Oryzias latipes: one gene and its partners. The protein of the gene in region 5 purifies or fractionates together with the protein of the main gene of each other region. This does not show direct contact. Links are inferred from orthologs where the notes say so. Each region holds a gene or a part of one and is shown on either strand. Other genes may lie near its edges. The genes, in order: hdac2, bcl7b, ss18, CCAAT/enhancer-binding protein beta and probable global transcription activator SNF2L2.

Region 1 (4,383 bases), on a different chromosome or scaffold from region 5:
TGTACAAAATGCTTCCTTAAGTTTGTCTGAACGTCAACAGAGCCCACTCACAGCGCTGCATCTGCTTGCTGAACTCGGACATGTTGTCTGGCCGTATGGATCTGAGGAACTTGATGTAGTCGTCACTGTGGTATTTGGTCATCTCGTCTGCGGTGGCTTTGTGTGGCCTCTGAAACCAGGAGAAAGGTGGAAGGGAAGAAACCAGAACTGAATGAAAGCAGGAGCGAACACAGAACTAAGAGCAAACCGCCAAGCTAAATCGACGTTTCCTAATGTCTGAAGTCTGCTGAGGATCAGGTCACATGGAGACACGCTCCTCACAGCAACAGAGCACAGGAAAACATACATAGATCTCCATTTTTCTGTAGAGGCCATAGTTCAGGAGGAGGTTGTGAGTCATGCGGATCCGATGTGGCTTCATGGGGTGTCCTTGTCCATAATAGTAGTTTCCAACATCACCTAGACACAAGAAAAACACAAAATCAATGATGCAGATTGCCAACATTAGCTCCACCAGCTTTTCTGATTCAACTGTTGGCATCTGTGTTGTTCCAACAGAGAACATGAGCAGCAAACGACAGAGGAAGACAACTCAGAGCACTGATCTGTGGAACAACCGAAGCTTCAGAACGATGACTCACATCCTCACCGTTATTTATTACTGCTCAGTAAACAAACCAGGAACAGTTTACAGCAGACAGAAAACGGGACTGATCCCTGTCCAACAAACTGGACCCTCCCAACCAAAATGTACTCTGACATCTCATAATGTCAGTTTATTCTTTACATTATGATTTCAGTCAGATTATTAAAATATGAAACCGCTCTAAACAAGTGCCAGTTCTAATGGGCTGAACTTTTATGACACTTATGTTCACGAAGATCTACATCTGCATCAGTAATCTAGTCATTTCAAAGTGATGTGCACGTCATTAGTGCACGTGGGACTGCTCTAAGCTAAATGTGACCGCAGAAAAAGGTGAAGTGAATTGCTTAAATGAACATGGTGTTTTTAACACGTTCTGGCAGCATTATTCTGAATATGAAGAAAATTAAACAGAAAATTGAATTTCCGAGTATTTCTTTGTTCAAACTGTTGTGAGTCAGGAGCGGATAAAAAATATGCAGTTGGGAATAGCTATAAGCAAGCCCCAAGCTCCCTGTTCTGTTCCACTCTAAAGGCCTGTTCACACCGGGACGAATTTCGCCGGCGATTTTCGCCGACGTTTAACGCCTCGTGACTAAACAAAGGGCACCAACGAGAGTGTGCACATCGACGCGAAAAAACGCCAGGCGTTAAAGCGTCCAAAAAAAAACGCCTCGGGTTCGTTTTTTTTTTCCGACGAAATCTACTCGACCAATGAGAACGGCGCTTTTGCTCACGTGTCTGGAGCTTCTGAAGTTACAGTAAAACACAACTTGGGGGCGCTCAAACACAAAACTGCCTTGCTGAGCACACATACCAGCGAAGAAGATAGACGCCAAGTAGCGTCTACACAGCCGCGAAGCAATAATGACGGACATTCTAAAACATCCCCGAACCAAGCACCAGTTGGAGCTACTGGTGCTTGAAATATTCATGTTTTCTTTGTTTGATTCTGACAAGCGTGTAAAAACTTGCTCTCTTCTTCTGAGTGAAAAGCGACTTTAAGAAGCGTAAAGTTGCGCAGCGCCACCTTGTGTACAGGAGTATTTCAGTTTTACATTAAGCGCCATCTAATGTCAGGGAATGAAATTGCATGTTCACTCCACTCATCGTCAGCGAAAATCGCCTGGGTGTGAACACAAAAAACGTGGCGAAAAACGCTGGCGAATAACGCCTGGCGAATATTCGTCCCGGTGTGTACGGGCCTTAAGGCATCCACCTGCAGACTAATGGATCCATGAACGTCTTTGTTTTCCTCGTCTGAGCTGGAATCGGGATAGATCTGATATTGGCCATCTTTTTTGTTGCACTGCTAATGTGAGGATGGGGTTGTGAGGGGCTGTAAGCTAGTGGTAGAGTAGAGTGTAAACGGGGGGGGGGGGGGGGGGTGCTCTGCATCAACAGTCCCACCCACAACTCAGAGGTTAATGCTCTGCAGAAACTATGTCCCAGAAAACAACACAGGTTTTTGATTTAAAAAAAAATAATAACTTAAAGCGATCGGACACGCTTGTGTTTGGACCTGAACGCAGGTTTAGAGCCACCCGGGGCTTCTGCAGACGGTCACGTGACGTGTAGGTGAGCCAGGCCGCGCGTGCTCGTCTGGAAGCAGTAGAGGCTGCCAGTCGTGTGTTCTGTGGATGGTTGCATTGTGGGACGGCAACCTCGTTAAAGACGTTAAAAGCTTTTCTCCTCATACGTTCCCGGATGTGGGTTCTCCTCGGTGGGATCTTGAAAGATCACAACAGAACGCCGGCTGAACTGCCTGGGTCTCAAACAAGACTGACGTACGTAGCCGTAACTCACACAACGAGGGGTGGAGACAGACGTGAGGCGCCGGCTACTTAACGTACAGTGCCCCCCTCAGATGTTGGCTTTACACCGTTTCAATGAAGCAGAAAAGACTTTAGCCCCGGAGAAATGAGTTCCGACCGTAACTGACCGATGCTAGCACATGCTCGATGCTAACAGCTAGCGTTAGCCTGGCTCGTGCGCCACACAGCAGCTCTTACCGTCGTAGTAGTAGCAGACCTTCTTCTTAGTTCCACCTGCAACCGTGTACGCCATGCTACAAGCTCCTTTAGCTCCACAGGTGAGGCTCAATTCGCGTTAACAGAAAGACAAGAGCTGGATGGAGAACATCTGCACGGCGTCGCTGAGTGGGAGGGGCTACGTGGGCTGGGCGGGGCAAGGTTGGGCTCCGCCCCTGCGCCCCACTTTAAGTTTCTTTGTCCTTGTTCTTTTGTTTTGCGTCTTTGGGGCAGGGCATCAACACATGATATGTGGATTGCCAGTTCTGTCTGTGGTAGTCTAGCCATGCCACCAGGAGATCATTTTAGTACAAGACTCTGCAACCTTCTACCCCAGTTTGAGCCTCTTCCTTCTGACAGACTCAGAGTCGCACAGCCCCACTTCACACTCAATTCATGCTTCAGGCACGTGAAAATCTCCTTTATCTGGACTTTGCTTTGCACTGTTGAACCTTATTTAAATTTGTTCTTCACCTCTGCTTCTTCAACTCCTCCCTCAAAGCCACAAAGCCCTTTTTTTTTTACTTACACCACTTGGTCCTCTGCTCTGGCCTTGTCCTCGTCTATGGAGTGATTTATGTGTCCCATTATTCCAAGCGTACTTGAAATACTTGAAATATTTTGTGTGCTCAAAAATATTTTGCACTTGAAACATAAAAATGCACTTGAGACTCAAAAATAAGTGCAAACAAAACAGTTTTACTCTTGAAACCTAAAAATATGTCCAATCAAAACAATTCTCTATGTGTCACAAAAGCCAGTTAATCACAGACATGGGCATAAAGTTTGATGCCGATTGGTCAGAAATTCTTCCAATCGCACACAGACCTGATCCAGTCTACGAGCCGTCTAAAGTCTACAGTTTTTGGGTTTTCTGGCCCGTCAAGAGTCGTAGAGAGGAGTGGCTGCTCCTTAAGATGTCTTGTAGTTCCCTTGAGGCTTGCACAACCACCTTAAAGGTTATTGTTTTGCATTTCGTAAGTACATGGTGAAGTATTTGTTAGGATAATGGAAGTTACAAACTGATGAGGTATGGGTGTTCTTGCTCAGGGGGGCGGAAAAAATGAAAAATCAACATGAAATGCCTGTGTCTTACATACTTCACCTGTGCCTGCCGTTGTGTGTTGTTAAAGTACCTGACGACCTGCCGCCCGCACCAGCCCGTAGAAAAACTGAGCATGAACATTCACTGAGTGGTCTACAATCTTGAAATTTCGTGCGGGCCGCCTGCTTGTCTCATACAGATTTGGCCCTTTTTCATCTGCAGACAGCCCGTGCCCACCCCTAAGAGCAGTTGGGACTAAGGCTTTAGCTTTCTCTTCTCAGCATCTACAGTCAAACTGGAGATTATTCATCCAATCAGGCAATTTGGGCTAAAAGATACTTTATTCCATCAGCAAGTTTCTTCTTTGTTGGAAATAATACAGATGTTAACCAGGAGCAGAACATTTTGCACTTGACTTGTCAGTCAAGCTGTAGCTCATGAAATCTCTTTTGCCACTGTGGTAGTACTTTCCAGAAAAAAAAAAATCTTAGAAAATACATAAAAGATTAGAAACCATGAGGAATACATGTTCATTTATCGCTCTTGGTTTTCTTAAACCAAGCTTTCATAAAATGTGAATAAGGATGTTTCAATAAAAATGGATTGGATGTTTCCAAACACTCAAAGTGCTTACAACATGTATCCATTATTCAGTCACTCCT
Region 2 (4,115 bases), on a different chromosome or scaffold from region 5:
TCAGCTGAACTGTAATGAGTAATACTTGCATAAACATGTAAAAAGAAACCCATCATAATTCTGAAAATGTTGTTAATTTCCCAACATCCAAGCAGGTTTCTTATGCATTACGGACAAAAAGGTGGTACAAAAGCTATCTCAGCGCTGCATTTTCCCCTTTGCAAATCCTCTTCAAAGGCGGTGCCCCCGATTCATCTACCGGTAGGTCCTCCTGCTGGACAAGAGTACAAGTTAGACATGTCAGCTTCTATTTACACCTCAAAACTTATCAGGACATAACTAACTCGACGTGAAATGGGATACAGTGTCCCCTCGTTTATCGCTGCGATAGATGAAATCCACAGAGTAGCATTACAGATGTTTCAAGGCTGGAATGCCTACTATACCACTTTACTATACCAAAGACTTTAAAAATGGGACCCAATGCCTCCCTGCTTGACACTCAACATTAAGGGGTTGGCTTGGACCACCCGAGCGCGGCTCGTCGGCAGCTCACCGCTCCCCCAGGGGATGGGTCAAATGCGGAAAACAAATTTCCCACACCTAGGTGTGTGACAGATAGTGGGACTTTATCTTTATTTTACACTTTATACTATTTTCTCAGACAGAAATGAACATTTTCCCAGTTTTTTTCTCTTGCTTAAACTCTCAAAGTTCAAACCTTCCCAGAAAAGTATGTAAAGGATCATAGACGGAAAGCAAACATCTGATCACAATTGAAGATTTGTGCCCATTTTTCAAACAGACTGCTTAGGAGATAGTGCATGGAGGAGATTGATTGACCGTTGTCAAGAGCCAATGAGGGGGCAGAACACGATACGCTGTTAGAAAGAACAACACGCAGAATTACACTCTTTTATTCCAAGCGCAATATACTAAGGGGACCACTGTATTTCATGAAGATGTGCTTGAGTTTGTCTTGGAAGCTGTCGAAGAGAAACCTGTATATCTGAAGCTCCCCGTTTGATGGCTCCAGATGAGAGAGGGTCCTCTTTAATAAGAGTAGGTGGCTCATCTGCACCTTCCTGTCCCAAATGGACTGGTTCTGCATCAAGAGAGAGAAGACACTGTGTCATTAAGTTAGGAAGAGATTTTGTTTTTATTCATTTAAAGTCATCTTCTGATCTATTTTCAGTGTTCCCAGTGGTCTTTTAATTATTATTATGCTATTTTTAGCCACACACACAAAAAAAAAAACTTGTATTGTTTCTTAGGAGAGTTTCTGCAGAGCAGCAGCAGTTCATTAGGAATTCTTCTGAGTTGTGGGCGGGACCACTGGCGCAGAGTAATTTCCCATCATCTCCTTTGTTTACACTCACTCCCAGTAGCTTACAGCCCCCTACAACCCCAACAAAACATTACAGGTGAAACTGGTGAGCAACATTGGAGCATCCAGCCAGCTTGGACAAGGAGAACAAAGGCGAACATGGATATGATTGTGGATGCATCGAAATGGAGCAGAGCAGGGAGCTTTATCCTCCACCACTTTTTTTTTTTTTATCTGCTCCTGATTCACAGTTTGAATAAAAAAATACTCAGAAATGCAGTTTTAAGCTATAATTGTTTATACATGGCCATCATCAGAAAAATGCAACAAGAACATGTTAGAAACACCAAAAACAGGATTTTAATGACAGTTCTGGACATGGTTTTATTTACATACCATCCACACTCTCCTGGCCCAGCATGGGCGGCTGGGAGTCCTCCGCTCGGAGGCTGAAGGTATGCGGGGGGCTGACCTGCTGGGAGCTGGAGTTGCTGCTGCTGTTGTCCATTTTTGGTTGATAAACGTCTGACATGAAGCTTTGATTGCTGTTGTCATCTAAGAGCAGACGTTTGGAACAATCATGAAACCCTTGGAATGGAGGATCACTTTGATCTGGTTAAATCAAACCCAATTGATCCAAGATATGAATGATAAAGAAAATGTTCTTTAGGAATCCTCAGGCTACCTGTGAAATCCAGCAAAGAGTTGGTGTTTTCCAGAACCACATCCTTCAGTCCCCTAACGTCTCCACCCGTAGATTTGGTCCGAAAGATCTGGAAAGAGGATGAAACCCATCAGGAGGATGCAGGTCGTGACACAGGTCTCTGTGTGTTTTATTGACTGAGGCTCACACCTGTTTCGTTTCAGTGACTGGAACCCACTTGAATATGCGCAGGGACGTGTCTCCAACCGTCACCCATTTCTTCTCCCTGAGGAGAAATGTACGTTGGATCATGGGGAAATCTCCTAGCAGCTGCTAGATTTCAGGGCGTCGTAATAATAATAGAGAAATGAACGCATTTATTAGTCACGCGTGTTTTCATAGTCCGGTGCAGCGGAGCTAATATCTGATCAAAACCCTCTACTTCTCCGTGCACAGCAGAATGGAGGAAATTCAATGTAACGCGTTAGTGTCTGATTTCCACAGCAATGCAGCTCTCAGGAGGCTCGCCGACTTCTCAAGCCGCCGCATGTGAAGCTGCTGGAGCCATATTGACAGCTGTCGGCGGAAAAACTCAACTAGCCCCGCCTCCTCTGTCAAACGGGCGCGCTGGTTGGTCGAAAGCCTTGTCAATCATCCAACTTTCCCGACTGAAGTTTGTTGAGCTACGCAGCAAGATATCGCGCCGCGGTCTCGATTTTCATGCCCTTTTTGCGCCGCGCAGTTTACATACCATTTGCGCACTTTCTCGATGGCCGCCAGGACCTTTTTGATGTCGTCTTTGGCCCGACTTCGGGTCTCAGCGCGGCCTGATCGTCCAGACATCTTGATCCCGTTATGATTCATCTACCGATGCATCTGAAACTTCAAGCCCCGATCCTCCCAGAGGGATAAATCTCGCGATACTTGGACCTCCTCGTTTTCTGTAATCTTGAGGTTTTGTGCTCAGTCATGTACCGATAATGTAAGTTATAGTGTGTTCGAAGTGCGTGGGATAGTTTTGAACGTTTCAGGAAATAATAAAATATGTACGAAGCCCTGTACATGGCACAAAAAAGACCAATGGTTCCCTCAAATTAATAATTTGTGGCCTCGGATTAGCTAATTAGAAATTTGTGCACACAACACCAATTTGTGCATGTAGATGTGCGTACATCATGATGTTATTTTGTAAACACAAAATGTTAATTTGTGTGTAATAAATGCTCATTTGCGCACACAAACTAGGCCTACTCATTTACGCCCACCGAGTGTTGTAAAAATACCAACTTGTGCCCACAAAATATAAATTTGTGTCCACAAATTGTGAAGACAAAATACTATTTGTGTCCACAAAGTGCGAATTTGTGCACACAAAGTAGCAGTTTATGCCCACAAATTCTCATTTGTGGGCACAAAATGCTAATAAATTGCAACTTGTGCACACAAAATACGAATTTTGAGAAGATAAGAACATGTTCATACAGAATGCTAATATGTGACCACCAAATGCCAATTTAATGCCAATTTGTTTGCTCAAAATACTCATTTGTGTCCAAAAAATTCTAATTTGTGTGCACTAAATACTAATTTTGTGTACACAGCAAACTTGTATGCACAAAATACAAATTTGGTGCAAACCAAATGCATACATTGCCCATAAAATCCTTTTTCGTGCCCACAAAATGCTAATGAAATGCTAATTTGTTTGCACAAAACTAATTTGTTCTCATAAAATGCTAAGTTGTTATAACGGAAGGCTAATTTGTGGCCACAAAACGCTACTGTCCGACTACAATTTGCCAGTTTGTACATTTGTGCAAATGCTAATTTGTGTGCAAAAAATAGTAATAAAATGCTTATTTGTACACACAAAATGCTACCTTCAAACTTGTGTACTAACCTTTTTCCTATTAATGCTACTTTGTGCCCACAACAAATGTTTAGAAAATGCTGATTTGTGGCCATGAATTACCAAAATGTGGCTTCAAAATGCTAATTTGTGCACACAAAATACAAATTCATGGCCACAAATGATTATTTTGAGGGAAGATGTTTTCTAACATGTCCAGAGCTACGTAAATATGACCCTGTTAGAAAATACACGAGGACGCGTGTTATAAATATAAATAAATATGTGTTTGTCTGTGTTCAAATATTTAAATCTACAATTAAACCTCACAGAAAACATGTCAGGTGTTTTCCCTA
Region 3 (3,587 bases), on a different chromosome or scaffold from region 5:
TATCAATTTCCGTCAGGTCTTTGATTAAAAAAATAAAATTAAATCAGACTTTTCATAAAGTAAAGATGTTTTTGACTGTTGATCATCTTAGGTGCCTTAACTTTGCATTGTTTCCTTAAAAGTACTCTTAAACTACTTCCAGTCAACTCAAAAACAACTACGGTAGGAAAACCCTTACAATTAAAAATAAACATTCATGATTAACTTCAATCATTTGAAAAAGCTAGACAAAGCACTGCTGGTTTGTCCTTTTCATTAATGAAATCACAATATTTGAATTTTTGTCCCTGAAAATACTCAAAATCACAAAAGAATAGCTGAAAATTTTGTTTTGTAGAAATTTAAATTACTAAATGTTTAGATTGTGCAAAAACAAATGGGAACTAAATTGAGAGGCAAGATATTTGTTTGGCAGCACAGGCGCATCACCTGGAGCCCCAGTTTTGAGGAGATCACATGTACCGCTACACCCCAACAATCGCAGCTTCATCACAAGCACATTGTTCGTCGAGTGTTAAAGTTTGAGGAGACGTCTCACTACAGACTACGCATGCTTTTGTTTTGGGACCTCATTTCTGACAATTCGACCCCTGGTTAAAACAACAACAGTAGAGTTAAACAGAAATGGAAGAACTTAAAAAAGGTTGAATCAAAAAATAAAAAAAGAGAAGAAGAGGACAGATAGAAGAAACATTAGAAAATGCAAATTAACTCTAGGTGGTCAAGTGTCTAGATTGGACCCTGAGGTCTTCACAGCAACCATTACCTTTGCTTCTTACAGAGCTAGTCAGGGGTTCAAATCCCCGCTTCCTTATTTCCTCATGTGCCCCTGAATGTTCAAAGATAAAGATATCAACGTGTAGCTCTGGTCCCCACAGAAGACCATGGGAAATACAGGGCAGAAAACGGATTGCACTTTAAACAATGGAGCAAACTGACTCAAGTTTAAGGAAGAATCCTATTTAAAGCCCTGGTATTTCAAAGGAGGCACACCACATGAACCAGAAGAAATAACCAACACTACGGTTAACATTTCAAACACAGCAGCAGCATATACAATCTTCTGGAACAAACAGACTCAACCACCCAATAGGATGTTTGCATGCATAACACAACATGATTCTTGACTTTAAACTTCATTGTCTGTGGTTTCACTGAGAGCTAGAAAAGCATTTTTTCTGGCAATAAACTTGTTTAATTTGTAAGAAAATCGGAATTCCAAACAATCCGGTGACTGCTGCTATACTCACCTGGTCGTAACTGTACGGGCGCTGCTGCTGGCCCTGAGGGGGTCCGGGCTGGGGAGGACGGTAGCCCCCATACTGTTGGCCCTGCCCCTGCGGATAGTTAGGGTACTGTCCCGGAGCACTTTGGGAGGGGCCTAAAGTGAGCACAAACAGATGTAAGGTGGCGCTCTTAAAAGGACGGCTAACTGAAAAACCAACACATTCCATTTCTGATAAACCAAAAGTCTTAATTTTGTCAGTCTGAACCAAAGGACTAGTTGTTCAGCTAAAATAGGGGTCTAAACGTGACTTTTCCACCTCCGTTGTGGATCCCTGGTTAAAGAAAAACAACAAGCTTTTAATATAAGTGACTATAAAGTTAGAAGTAAACTTTATTCAACTCATTCACAGACAGTTGAAGGACAGTATGCATCACTCAGTGAGAAACCTGACTACAGTACCCATAATGCTCCAACAATAAAAGCAATTCGGACACCATGTTCACTACTTTCTTTTTGAAGCCTTATTCTTCTGAATGGTGAAGTGAGAAATTGACCCAAGTGACAATATATTAGGTTAGTATCTATAAAATGTGTGTAAGTATCCCTAAAGTTGTATCTTTTAACACTAACAAAAGAAAAAAAGCAATAAAAATAATTTTCAACAAATATTGACTTTATTTAGCCACAGAAACCCAGTTATAGTCTAAAAGAAAAAAGCTTAAAGTGCCTGAAATAAAAAAATCTATCAGTCCTTATTTAAAATAGAAACATTCTGACCAACTGAACCATTTGATGCTGAGAAAAATAATTTAGTCAATCAATAATATTAAATGTAAATTGATCTGAAACATTAACAGAGCAGCACCAATATATTTAACCTTTTTAGTCTGTAGAGATAGATAAAAACATTGTGCTGATGTTTTTCTAAATGATGGATTGTTTATTTATGATCTCATAAAGTGCAGCGGTTTTCCTGCATTACCTGCTGTCTTTATTTCAAATACTGACACCAACTAAACGACAGGCAGACAAAAAATACATTTATGAAAAATAAAGATGTCATCAAAATATCTATAACAGTTAATGAAGGATGACATTATTAGCATGAACTGAGTAATCTAAAAGCATGTGATGATCCTGGTGGTGCTAATCCAGGCAGTGCTTGCAGCTCTCCGCGTGCCCCATTTCACCTGGCAGCCTGAGCCTACTACCCCTCCCCTTTCGTTCTCACACACGCGTGTGACAGGAGACGGGAGCGCGCAGCTGCAGGGACGGGGATTCAAAAGTTTCAGGCTGTTACAAACTCTGTGTGTGATTTAACAGACAATAGGAACCGAATAGTGGCGCAGATTTTTTCCTCGCACTGAGCCGCTGTCGTCACCACCCCCATGTTAAATTTGCGCCCCGGACATTTGCCCGTATTACCTGTGCCTAAAACCGCCACTACCGCGCGCCCCTCCTGGCATCGCATCGGCGTGTCCCACTATTTGAGAAGCACTGCTTTATAGCAAGGATCAACCGACAGAAGAATATCAAATATTTGCCTAGGCTGCTTCTGAAACATGTTAGCAAGTTATGGATGCAACCAAATGAGTCACACTGAGGTCAGGGAGCAGTTACACATAAAAAAAAAAACAAGCTAAAGAAAATAAATATGTATATATGTATAAAGAGAGAGAGAGACCTATTTATAATCCAGCTCTGTACACAGGAGCCATCTTTGCCGATACTGTGAAGGACCGAGCAAACTAGACTTGGGTGGAAGTCAAATGAGGCCCACGCAGCATCGTTAGGCCCTCCTAATGCCTTATGCTGCTGTGCATAACCTTGTGGGAGCCTGAGAGAGCAGGCGTGTGTATGTGCCAGATGGATCTCACCTCACAGCCTCGGCATCTCAGCTGGCTCATTAATAACTACAGCTCTGGCTCACAAAGAGGGCAACTGACAGAAAGTTCTAGAGAAAACTGCCACAAAGAGAAATCCCTTAAGAGCTCCTGCAAGTAAACCCACACTTCAAATGATATCAGATCCTGATTAAATCATGTTTATTTCTATACTCTTTTTTTTGTTTTTTTTAAGTAAATGCTTAAACCCGGATAGCCTATTGACGCGTACAGGTGCAACAGGCTATCCAGGGCGATGGAGGATCGTAGAGAGGAGCGGCTGCGTCTTAAGGCGAGCACATGTGTGTCCTGAGGCCATCTTAAGGGATGTCATGAGAGCGGAATGTACGATTTCCCTGCGTGTTGGGAAGTGTACTGTCAAGTTTTTGTAAGGATAATGCAAGTTCCACACACTTAGAGCGACCTAACCCCGCACTCTAGTCTTCAGCAAGGTGCGCGTCCTGGCTCCTTACTAA
Region 4 (3,333 bases), on a different chromosome or scaffold from region 5:
GATAAAGCCAACACTTCTGTGCTGCGTGCAGCGACCGACTCTTTTCTGCCCTCTCAGCAGTATCATTTCAGCATAAATGGGTTTGATTTATTTTAGGACCCTTGGGAGAATGCGTCAATTATTTAAAATAAACAGAAACGAAAATGAACCTGTTTAAAAAGAGGAAAAAAAAGAGTGTGAGGAGTTAGGTTGTGTTTTGTGTAAAAGGTTATCTGCAAGAGATGTTTGTTTTAAGTGCAATTTGACAAAAACCAATGACTAAAAAGATTCCAAACTATATTTTTTAAAGCTTTTTAACTACAGAGAACTATATTTTCTACTTTATAATGAAATACGTATGATTAATTAATAACGTTTTGTGCAACAAAGGTTCAAATATTTAAAGGCCTGTAGGATTCTTTTCGTGATTTGTAGTTTATTTTACGCAAACCTGGATTATAAAAACAGCCGTTTTCCTCAACGCAATATGCTGTAACGGATTAAGTGTGAGTCTGAGTGTGAACGCCCATGTCTGTGTGCCTGTCTGCACCCTAAACCTGCGGAGGAAAGGACAGAAAAGAGCGTGCAAATTCCTTTAAACAAAGTATAAATCTATTTAATCCAATGTCAAGTACAATTAAAGCATTTCACCTTTTTAAATCTTAAATAATTAGACTTATTTCATTCATTGCCAATACTATTACAAAGAGTTGCATCATTTCACTGCAGCACAACTCTCCCCGTTGACAGCCATTGCTGCAGACACACACACACACACACACACACACAAAAATCTAGAAATTCAAGGGTATGAATGTATGTATGTAAAACCTGCACAGAAATACTGCATACACAAACATTACATGTGAGGAAAAAGCCACAGTGACATGTAAAGAGTGGTGAACGGTTGCGCAATCCATGCACCCACTTGTTCAGTCTTATTCAGTGTCCATTGTAAACTGGGGATGGCCGCCTTCACCTGTGTACCGTTTGGATCACCGTGCACTCTCCAGTCCACTTGAGGGAGCGGCACAGGGGGGTTCTCTCGTGGGAGGGGGGTACCTAACATTGTCCAGTTGCTGAGAGCAGGTTGCGCAGCGTGGCCAGCTCCCTAGACAGCTGCTCCACGCGCTTTTGTAAACGGTCGTTCTCCGCGGCCAGTTCCAGCACTTTGTGTTGAGTCTCCAAGTTGCGCATTTTGGCTTTGTCCCTGCTCTTCCTCACGGCGAGGTTGTTCCTCTCCCTCCTCAGCTTGTACTCTTCACTGTCCTTGTCCAATCGTTTTTTAGACTTCCCGCTGCTCCCCTTGCCGCCGTGAGACGGTGACCTGCCTTTACCTGAGGGCGCAGGTGTGCCGGGCGGGCTGGAGCAGGTGGAGGACGCAGTGGAGATGTTCCCCAGACTGCTGCTGGTGGACTGGTAATGAAGATAGGACCTCATGTCGAACCCGGACGAGCCGTTCTCCATCTTGGCGTCTTCCAGGTTGTCGTCTCTGTCGGCGGCTGCGGCGGCGGTTCTGTAGCGGCTCAGTTCGGGGCTCAGGACGCTGTCCGCGCGCGTCTCCTGCAGCTCCGAGTAGCCCAGCGAGTAGGGCTGCCGGGGGTCGCACTGGCTCGACTCCAGCTCGCCCAGCAAAGAGTAGTTCCTGTAGCTCTGGAGAGCTGAGACTCTCTTGATCTTGCTCTCCGCCAGAAAGTCAGAGTACGCGTCCCCCTGCGGCTGCGTCTGCGCCGCCAGCTGCGCGCAGTGGAAGGCTGGGTCCAGGTAAACGCTCAGGTCTATCGCTCTCTCCCGCTCCTCAATGCCCAGCTCCGTCATCGAGTCACCGAGCCGCCAGTACGAGCCGCCGACGATGGGACTGATGATACCGTCTCTGCCGTGGATAGCAAAGCTTCCCTCCTCGTACAAGCCGGCCACTTCCATGGATCTGCACTCCCGCCGGACTGCAGGAGCGGGCAGGGCTGAGGTGAGGCGCCCCGAGTTCTTCAAGTTCAGCTGAGTAACTGGAGAAAACGTGTCGGAATGCAGCGAGCTGAAAGCACCCGCGTCACTTCATGTGGCAACAACAAGAAGCAACTTTTTTTTTCTGTGGCGGATTGGGAGGAATTGACAGACCTTCCTGTCTCGAGAGGGTTTTATTCCACAGCGCGGGGGGCGGGGCCTAACAGGGCAGGTGTGACGAGCGGAGCCTGTCAGCGAACAACCTGTTCCACTTTGGAGAACGTTTCCCGCATTCATCTGTTTATGTCGGGACAAACGAAAACCTGAACTTGACTTGTTGTCTATTTAAAGTGAAGTCTTTCATTGTTTGTCAGTAAGCATCAATACAAGTTATTATAAATAATTACTTTGCTCCTTTCTGGACACATTTCCTTAACTCCTGCAGCAGAAAATCACATTCAGTTGTAATCAAAACATCTCTGAACACATTATTTCCAAAACAAAAATGAACAGTTGTGGAAGTGATGCACACATCCCCATCCATCACTGTGCTGGTTTGTGTCAGAAACATTTCACTGTCGTCAAAGACAGATGTGACTGTCTCGTGGGATCAGTGTTATCCCACAACATGACTTCAAGCATGACCCAATGACTCACAGCAAGAACAAAATAGAAGCCTCTCCTGGACAATCATGAGGCCCCAAAAATAAACTGACTCTGAATAAGATCAGATAAGAATTACACGTTTGCTTTAAACGTGCACGTAGATTGAGAAGAAATACCTACAATTTATTTATTGGTGAGAAACTGGTTTGCAAATTGGGATTTACTGCCACCGTGTGGCTAAGAGTATTTAGAAAATTACTTGTCAAGCACTTGTCAATTTGGTGCTTCGAGCATCTTTTGCATATTTTAAGACACGTGTGTGACATTTCTTGTGTGATTTGCTGAAGAAAACAGAGGTAGTCACTTTCCATTTGAAGTCACCATGACTTGCATGTTAGGAAGCGGTCGGTGCAGAATATCATGACAAGACTGTACTGGAGAGAAAAAAAAACTCCAAATGGTATCTAAAGGCTTTTAACATCAGGCCTGGCTGATGTTTGAATATAATCGCACATAAATCAAAGGGATTAAATTGATAATGTATACATTTTTTTGTTGTTTGAGTGAAAAACCTTTTTTTTTGGCTTAAGTTTAATTCTTGCTCCATTAAAACTGCTTTGAAACAGTTTGAAGTTTTCCCTTTGCTTCCAACTTTTCTTCGATGTTTGCATTTTACTTTCAGCTCCCTGTCAGGCAGCTCCATCAAACAGAATGACAGATGACATCTGTAGTGCCTCCATGGGAGTGCTCCCTTCTCTTCCTATAGCGTCACATACAGACAACGTTTTCATCTGAGATGTCATTCTG
Region 5 (3,587 bases):
ACATTATTTTAAGTCTTTGTCAGTTTTTTCTCTGTAGATGAAGAAAAAGTTTGTTTTAAAGAAGCATTTAAGCTTTGTGACCGGAACTACTTTTTTAGGTGATATCACTGTGGATTATCATTTTTTAATGCAAACACAGCAGCCAATCAGAATCGAGAATTTATCCAGACGATGGTATAAGACAAAGAGCTTCAGGTCAAAAGTAAGATCAAATGCAGGAAAATGGCGTTCCCTTTGCTTTATAACGGTTCACCTTTTGCAGTCTCGTGGATTTTTTTTTTTTACAGTTTTTACATGTTTTTTTTTACAGTGCAGTGTTTCCATTGGCTAGTGTTAATTAGTCTCCTGTACAGACTTTTTCACTTTTCCAAATCTACATAAATCTTCAATTTTGATCAGATCTCTGTTTTCATTCTAATACCGGCCGTTTGACAGTTTAAACAAGAGAGAAAAGTATGAAAATGTTCATGTCTGTCTGAAAAAAGTGTAATGATAAGTTCAACAGCCTTAAAACATCTAGAATTATTGTAAAAATAAAAACGAATCCATCCGACGGTGGGTTATGTATAGAATGTAACTCCCACGATAAACGAGGGAACACTGAACCGTGAAGGTTTCCTATCCAGGAGAAATCCTGCGGCTGACAGATTCAAACTGTGCGAGTGCGGTTAAACAAAGACAAAATGTTTTTCCTTTGACTGAAGGAGCCGTGTTTTTAACAGAAACCCGCCAGCAGAACCCCCCTGAATCTTCTCTGCAGGGGGCGGGTGGGATTTTGGATCATTACAGCTGCAGTGGTGGAGCGTCTCACCCAGGGTTCATCTCCAGCCAAGCCTCCAGCTGGCTGGACTTGGGGGCGTCGGTTCCCTGTAGGACCTTCCCGGTCTCGGTCTGAATCACTTTGACAGGAAGCTCGCTCATTTGGCTGCTCTCATCAATGGGCTGCAAGACAAGAAAAGGAGGTAAAAAAGAGGAGCCTTCATCTCCAAAGCCCTCCTCCTCCTCTGGTTTTCCCCAACCCCACATTTTAACGCCTGAATCTTAGATCACAGGGAGGCACTGGTCTTCCTAAAAGGTGCCATCATGGCCTCCTCTGGGGCTGAGACGCCGTCTGGAAGGAGAAACGCTGCTTTCCTGACGCTATTTTCAACCCCCCCATGCAGAAAAGAAGCATTAGCAGCACACCTCTCCATCCAGTCCAAAGGCGCTGGTGCCTTCACCGTCTCCGTCCACCTTCTGCACAGACCACACAGACATCAGCAGTTTGATCACATCAAAGATTCACCTTTTTAAGAGCAAGCAAACAAACTTTGATTTAAAAATATGAACGACTGAAAGCTGAGCTTCATAGAAACCAGAGAGCGCGTTGGGGGTTTCCTGACAAAACTAGAGGAAATATATCCAGATGATGTTTTGCTTTTAGTACTGAAAGTCGGGGGCTCTGCTGCAACAAGCGGGGAAAGAATTCAAAGATCTGAACACCAGCAGGGCGTCCACCTGCAACAGAAACATACAGTGAGGGACCAACGTGAGCCTCTTCGTCATACCTTCTTTCTCTTCTTCTTCCTCTTCTTCTCCTTGGCAGCCTGAGCAGCCTTATGCTCGTAAACCAGAGCAGTGAGGTTGGCCACATATTCATCCGTCTGCTGCAGCAGGTAGGCCAGACGCTTGTCTTTCTTCTGATCAATCAGTTTTCTGTACCCCTCCTCATCCTCAGCCTGGAAGAGACAGCAACAGAAGGTCAGAACGGTATCAGGCTGAACCCTCATGAGAAACTCTTTTCGTAATTGTCTTCTATTCCTCTCTTCCTTGTTTGTTTCATGGCTTCTCCTCAGTGGAACAGTTACAGAGCAATAATCTTTGCTTTTCCAGCCTCATTTCCATCACAGACTGAACTTCACGCTGAATGAAAGCTTTCCACAGTGGGCGTGTCTCTTCCAACAGAACATCGCTTTGATCATGGATTCTTTCAAACAAAGATGGCCGCCATGCAAACAAGGTTTCCGTTTCTGACATGGACTGAAGTCCACATGACTCCTCACCATCAGCCTCCTCATCCTCTCCTTCTCGATCCTCTCCGTCTCCTTCTTCTGCTCCCGCTCCGTGTTAGTGTGCCACGTGGCAACGGATCTGGTGATTTTCTGGATTTTGCCGGAAACCGAGCGGTGATACTCTTTGAAGTCCTTGGCATGCTGCAGAATGCTGTTGAGGTATTCCTGAAAGAACACAAAGCGCATCATGAAGGTGACAAACCCAGGAGCTCGTGGCGGCCACGGGCCGGTGCACGCCAGCGTCGATCACCTGGTGTTTCTGCCTGCGCTTCTTCTCCTGCTCCAGCTTCTGCTGCTTCTCCAGCTTCTCCGTCATGCGGGCCTCCCTCAGAGTCTGCCGCTTGCTGCGTCGGTAAGCTTTCGAGTTGAGCGCCGTCTCCAGGGTGGTGTCCCGCCTCATGCACGCCACCACGTCCTGCCTCAGCTTCAGCAAAGCACACCTCAAGTTAAGACTGACTTCAGAATTCTGATTCTACAAGACTTCTTTACCCTGTTTCAGCATCAGCCTGTTTCATAGTTACACTGTTTCAGCGTCAGCCTGTTTCATAGTAACACTGTTTCAGTGTCAGCCTGCTTTAGCGTCAGCGTGTTTCATAGTTAGACTGTTTCAGCATCAGCCTGTTTCATAGTTACACTGTTTCAGCGTCCGCCTGTTTCATAGTAACACTGTTTCAGCGTCAGCCTGTTTCATAGTTTCACTGTTTCAGCGTCAGCCTGTTTCATAGTAACACTGTTTCAGTGTCAGCCTGCTTTAGCGTCAGCGTGTTTCATAGTTAGACTGTTTCAGCATCAGCCTGTTTCATAGTTACACTGTTTCAGCGTCCGCCTGTTTCATAGTAACACTGTTTCAGCGTCAGCCTGTTTTATAGTAACACTGTTTCAGCATCAGCCTGTTTCATAGTTAAACTGTTTCAGCGTCAGCCTGTTTCATAGTAACATTGTTTCAGCGTAAGCCTGTTTCATAGTTACACTGTTTCGGCGTCAGCTTGTTTCATTGTTACACTGTTTCAGTGTCAGCCTGTTTCATAGTAACACTGTTTCAGCGTCATCCTGTTTCATTGTTACACTGTTTCAGCGTCAGCCTGTTTAATAGTTAGACTGATTCAGCATCAGCCTGTTTCATAGTTACACTGTTTCGGCGTCAGCTTGTTTCATTGTTACACTGTTTCAGTGTCAGCCTGTTTCATAGTTACACTCTTTCAGCGTCAGCCTGTTTCATAGTAACACTGTTTCAGCGTCAGCCTGTTTCATTGTTACACTGTTTCAGCGTCAGCCTGTTTCATATTTAAACTGATTCAGCATCAGCCGGTTTCATAGTTACACTGTTTCAGCGTCAGCCTGTTTCATAGTTTCACTGTTTCAGCGTCAGACTGTTTCATAGCTAAACTGTTTCAGCGTCAGCCTGTTTCATAGTAACACTGTTTCAGCGTCAGCCAGTTTCATAGTTTCACTGTTTCAGCGTCAGCCTGTTTCATAGTTACACTGATTCAGCGTCAGCCTGTTTCATTTTTACACTGTTTCAGCGTCAGCCTGTTT

What was found.
Region 1: the proteins of probable global transcription activator SNF2L2 (region 5) and hdac2 purify together in Homo sapiens (affinity purification with western blotting; 4 studies listed by BioGRID, with this or other methods). This does not show direct contact. The link is inferred for Oryzias latipes from reciprocal best matches to the Homo sapiens genes SMARCA2 and HDAC2.
Region 2: the proteins of probable global transcription activator SNF2L2 (region 5) and bcl7b purify together in Homo sapiens (affinity purification with mass spectrometry; 3 studies listed by BioGRID, with this or other methods). This does not show direct contact. The link is inferred for Oryzias latipes from reciprocal best matches to the Homo sapiens genes SMARCA2 and BCL7B.
Region 3: the proteins of probable global transcription activator SNF2L2 (region 5) and ss18 purify together in Homo sapiens (affinity purification with mass spectrometry; 6 studies listed by BioGRID and IntAct, counting the BioPlex papers as one, with this or other methods). This does not show direct contact. The link is inferred for Oryzias latipes from reciprocal best matches to the Homo sapiens genes SMARCA2 and SS18.
Region 4: the proteins of probable global transcription activator SNF2L2 (region 5) and CCAAT/enhancer-binding protein beta purify together in Homo sapiens (affinity purification with western blotting; 5 studies listed by BioGRID and IntAct, with this or other methods). This does not show direct contact. The link is inferred for Oryzias latipes from reciprocal best matches to the Homo sapiens genes SMARCA2 and CEBPB.

What each region holds. Positions count from the first base shown.
Region 1 is NC_019882.2:21,613,892-21,618,274, reverse strand, and holds the start of hdac2 (histone deacetylase 2), read right to left. Parts: upstream 2,834-4,383; 5' UTR 2,714-2,833; coding exon 2,659-2,713; intron 460-2,658; coding exon 347-459; intron 170-346; coding exon 52-169; intron 1-51. UniProt on the Homo sapiens protein: Histone deacetylase that catalyzes the deacetylation of lysine residues on the N-terminal part of the core histones (H2A, H2B, H3 and H4).
Region 2 is NC_019871.2:22,450,592-22,454,706, reverse strand, and holds the start of bcl7b (B-cell CLL/lymphoma 7 protein family member B), read right to left. Parts: upstream 2,824-4,115; 5' UTR 2,775-2,823; coding exon 2,662-2,774; intron 2,197-2,661; coding exon 2,121-2,196; intron 2,041-2,120; coding exon 1,953-2,040; intron 1,823-1,952; coding exon 1,664-1,822; intron 1,046-1,663; coding exon 942-1,045; intron 215-941; coding exon 134-214; 3' UTR 1-133. UniProt on the Homo sapiens protein: Positive regulator of apoptosis. Plays a role in the Wnt signaling pathway, negatively regulating the expression of Wnt signaling components CTNNB1 and HMGA1.
Region 3 is NC_019875.2:25,752,138-25,755,724, forward strand, and holds part of ss18 (protein SSXT), read right to left. Parts: intron 1,382-3,587; coding exon 1,251-1,381; intron 830-1,250; coding exon of another isoform or gene 812-829; exon of another isoform or gene 767-811; intron 1-766. UniProt on the Homo sapiens protein: Appears to function synergistically with RBM14 as a transcriptional coactivator. Isoform 1 and isoform 2 function in nuclear receptor coactivation. Isoform 1 and isoform 2 function in general transcriptional coactivation.
Region 4 is NC_019865.2:21,871,215-21,874,547, forward strand, and holds CCAAT/enhancer-binding protein beta, read right to left. Parts: upstream 2,099-3,333; 5' UTR 1,903-2,098; coding exon 1,042-1,902; 3' UTR 570-1,041; downstream 1-569. UniProt on the Homo sapiens protein: Important transcription factor regulating the expression of genes involved in immune and inflammatory responses. Also plays a significant role in adipogenesis, as well as in the gluconeogenic pathway, liver regeneration, and hematopoiesis.
Region 5 is NC_019867.2:1,047,580-1,051,166, forward strand, and holds part of probable global transcription activator SNF2L2, read right to left. Parts: intron 2,476-3,587; coding exon 2,302-2,475; intron 2,217-2,301; coding exon 2,043-2,216; intron 1,719-2,042; coding exon 1,548-1,718; intron 1,237-1,547; coding exon 1,186-1,236; intron 943-1,185; coding exon 812-942; intron 1-811. UniProt on the Homo sapiens protein: ATPase involved in transcriptional activation and repression of select genes by chromatin remodeling (alteration of DNA-nucleosome topology).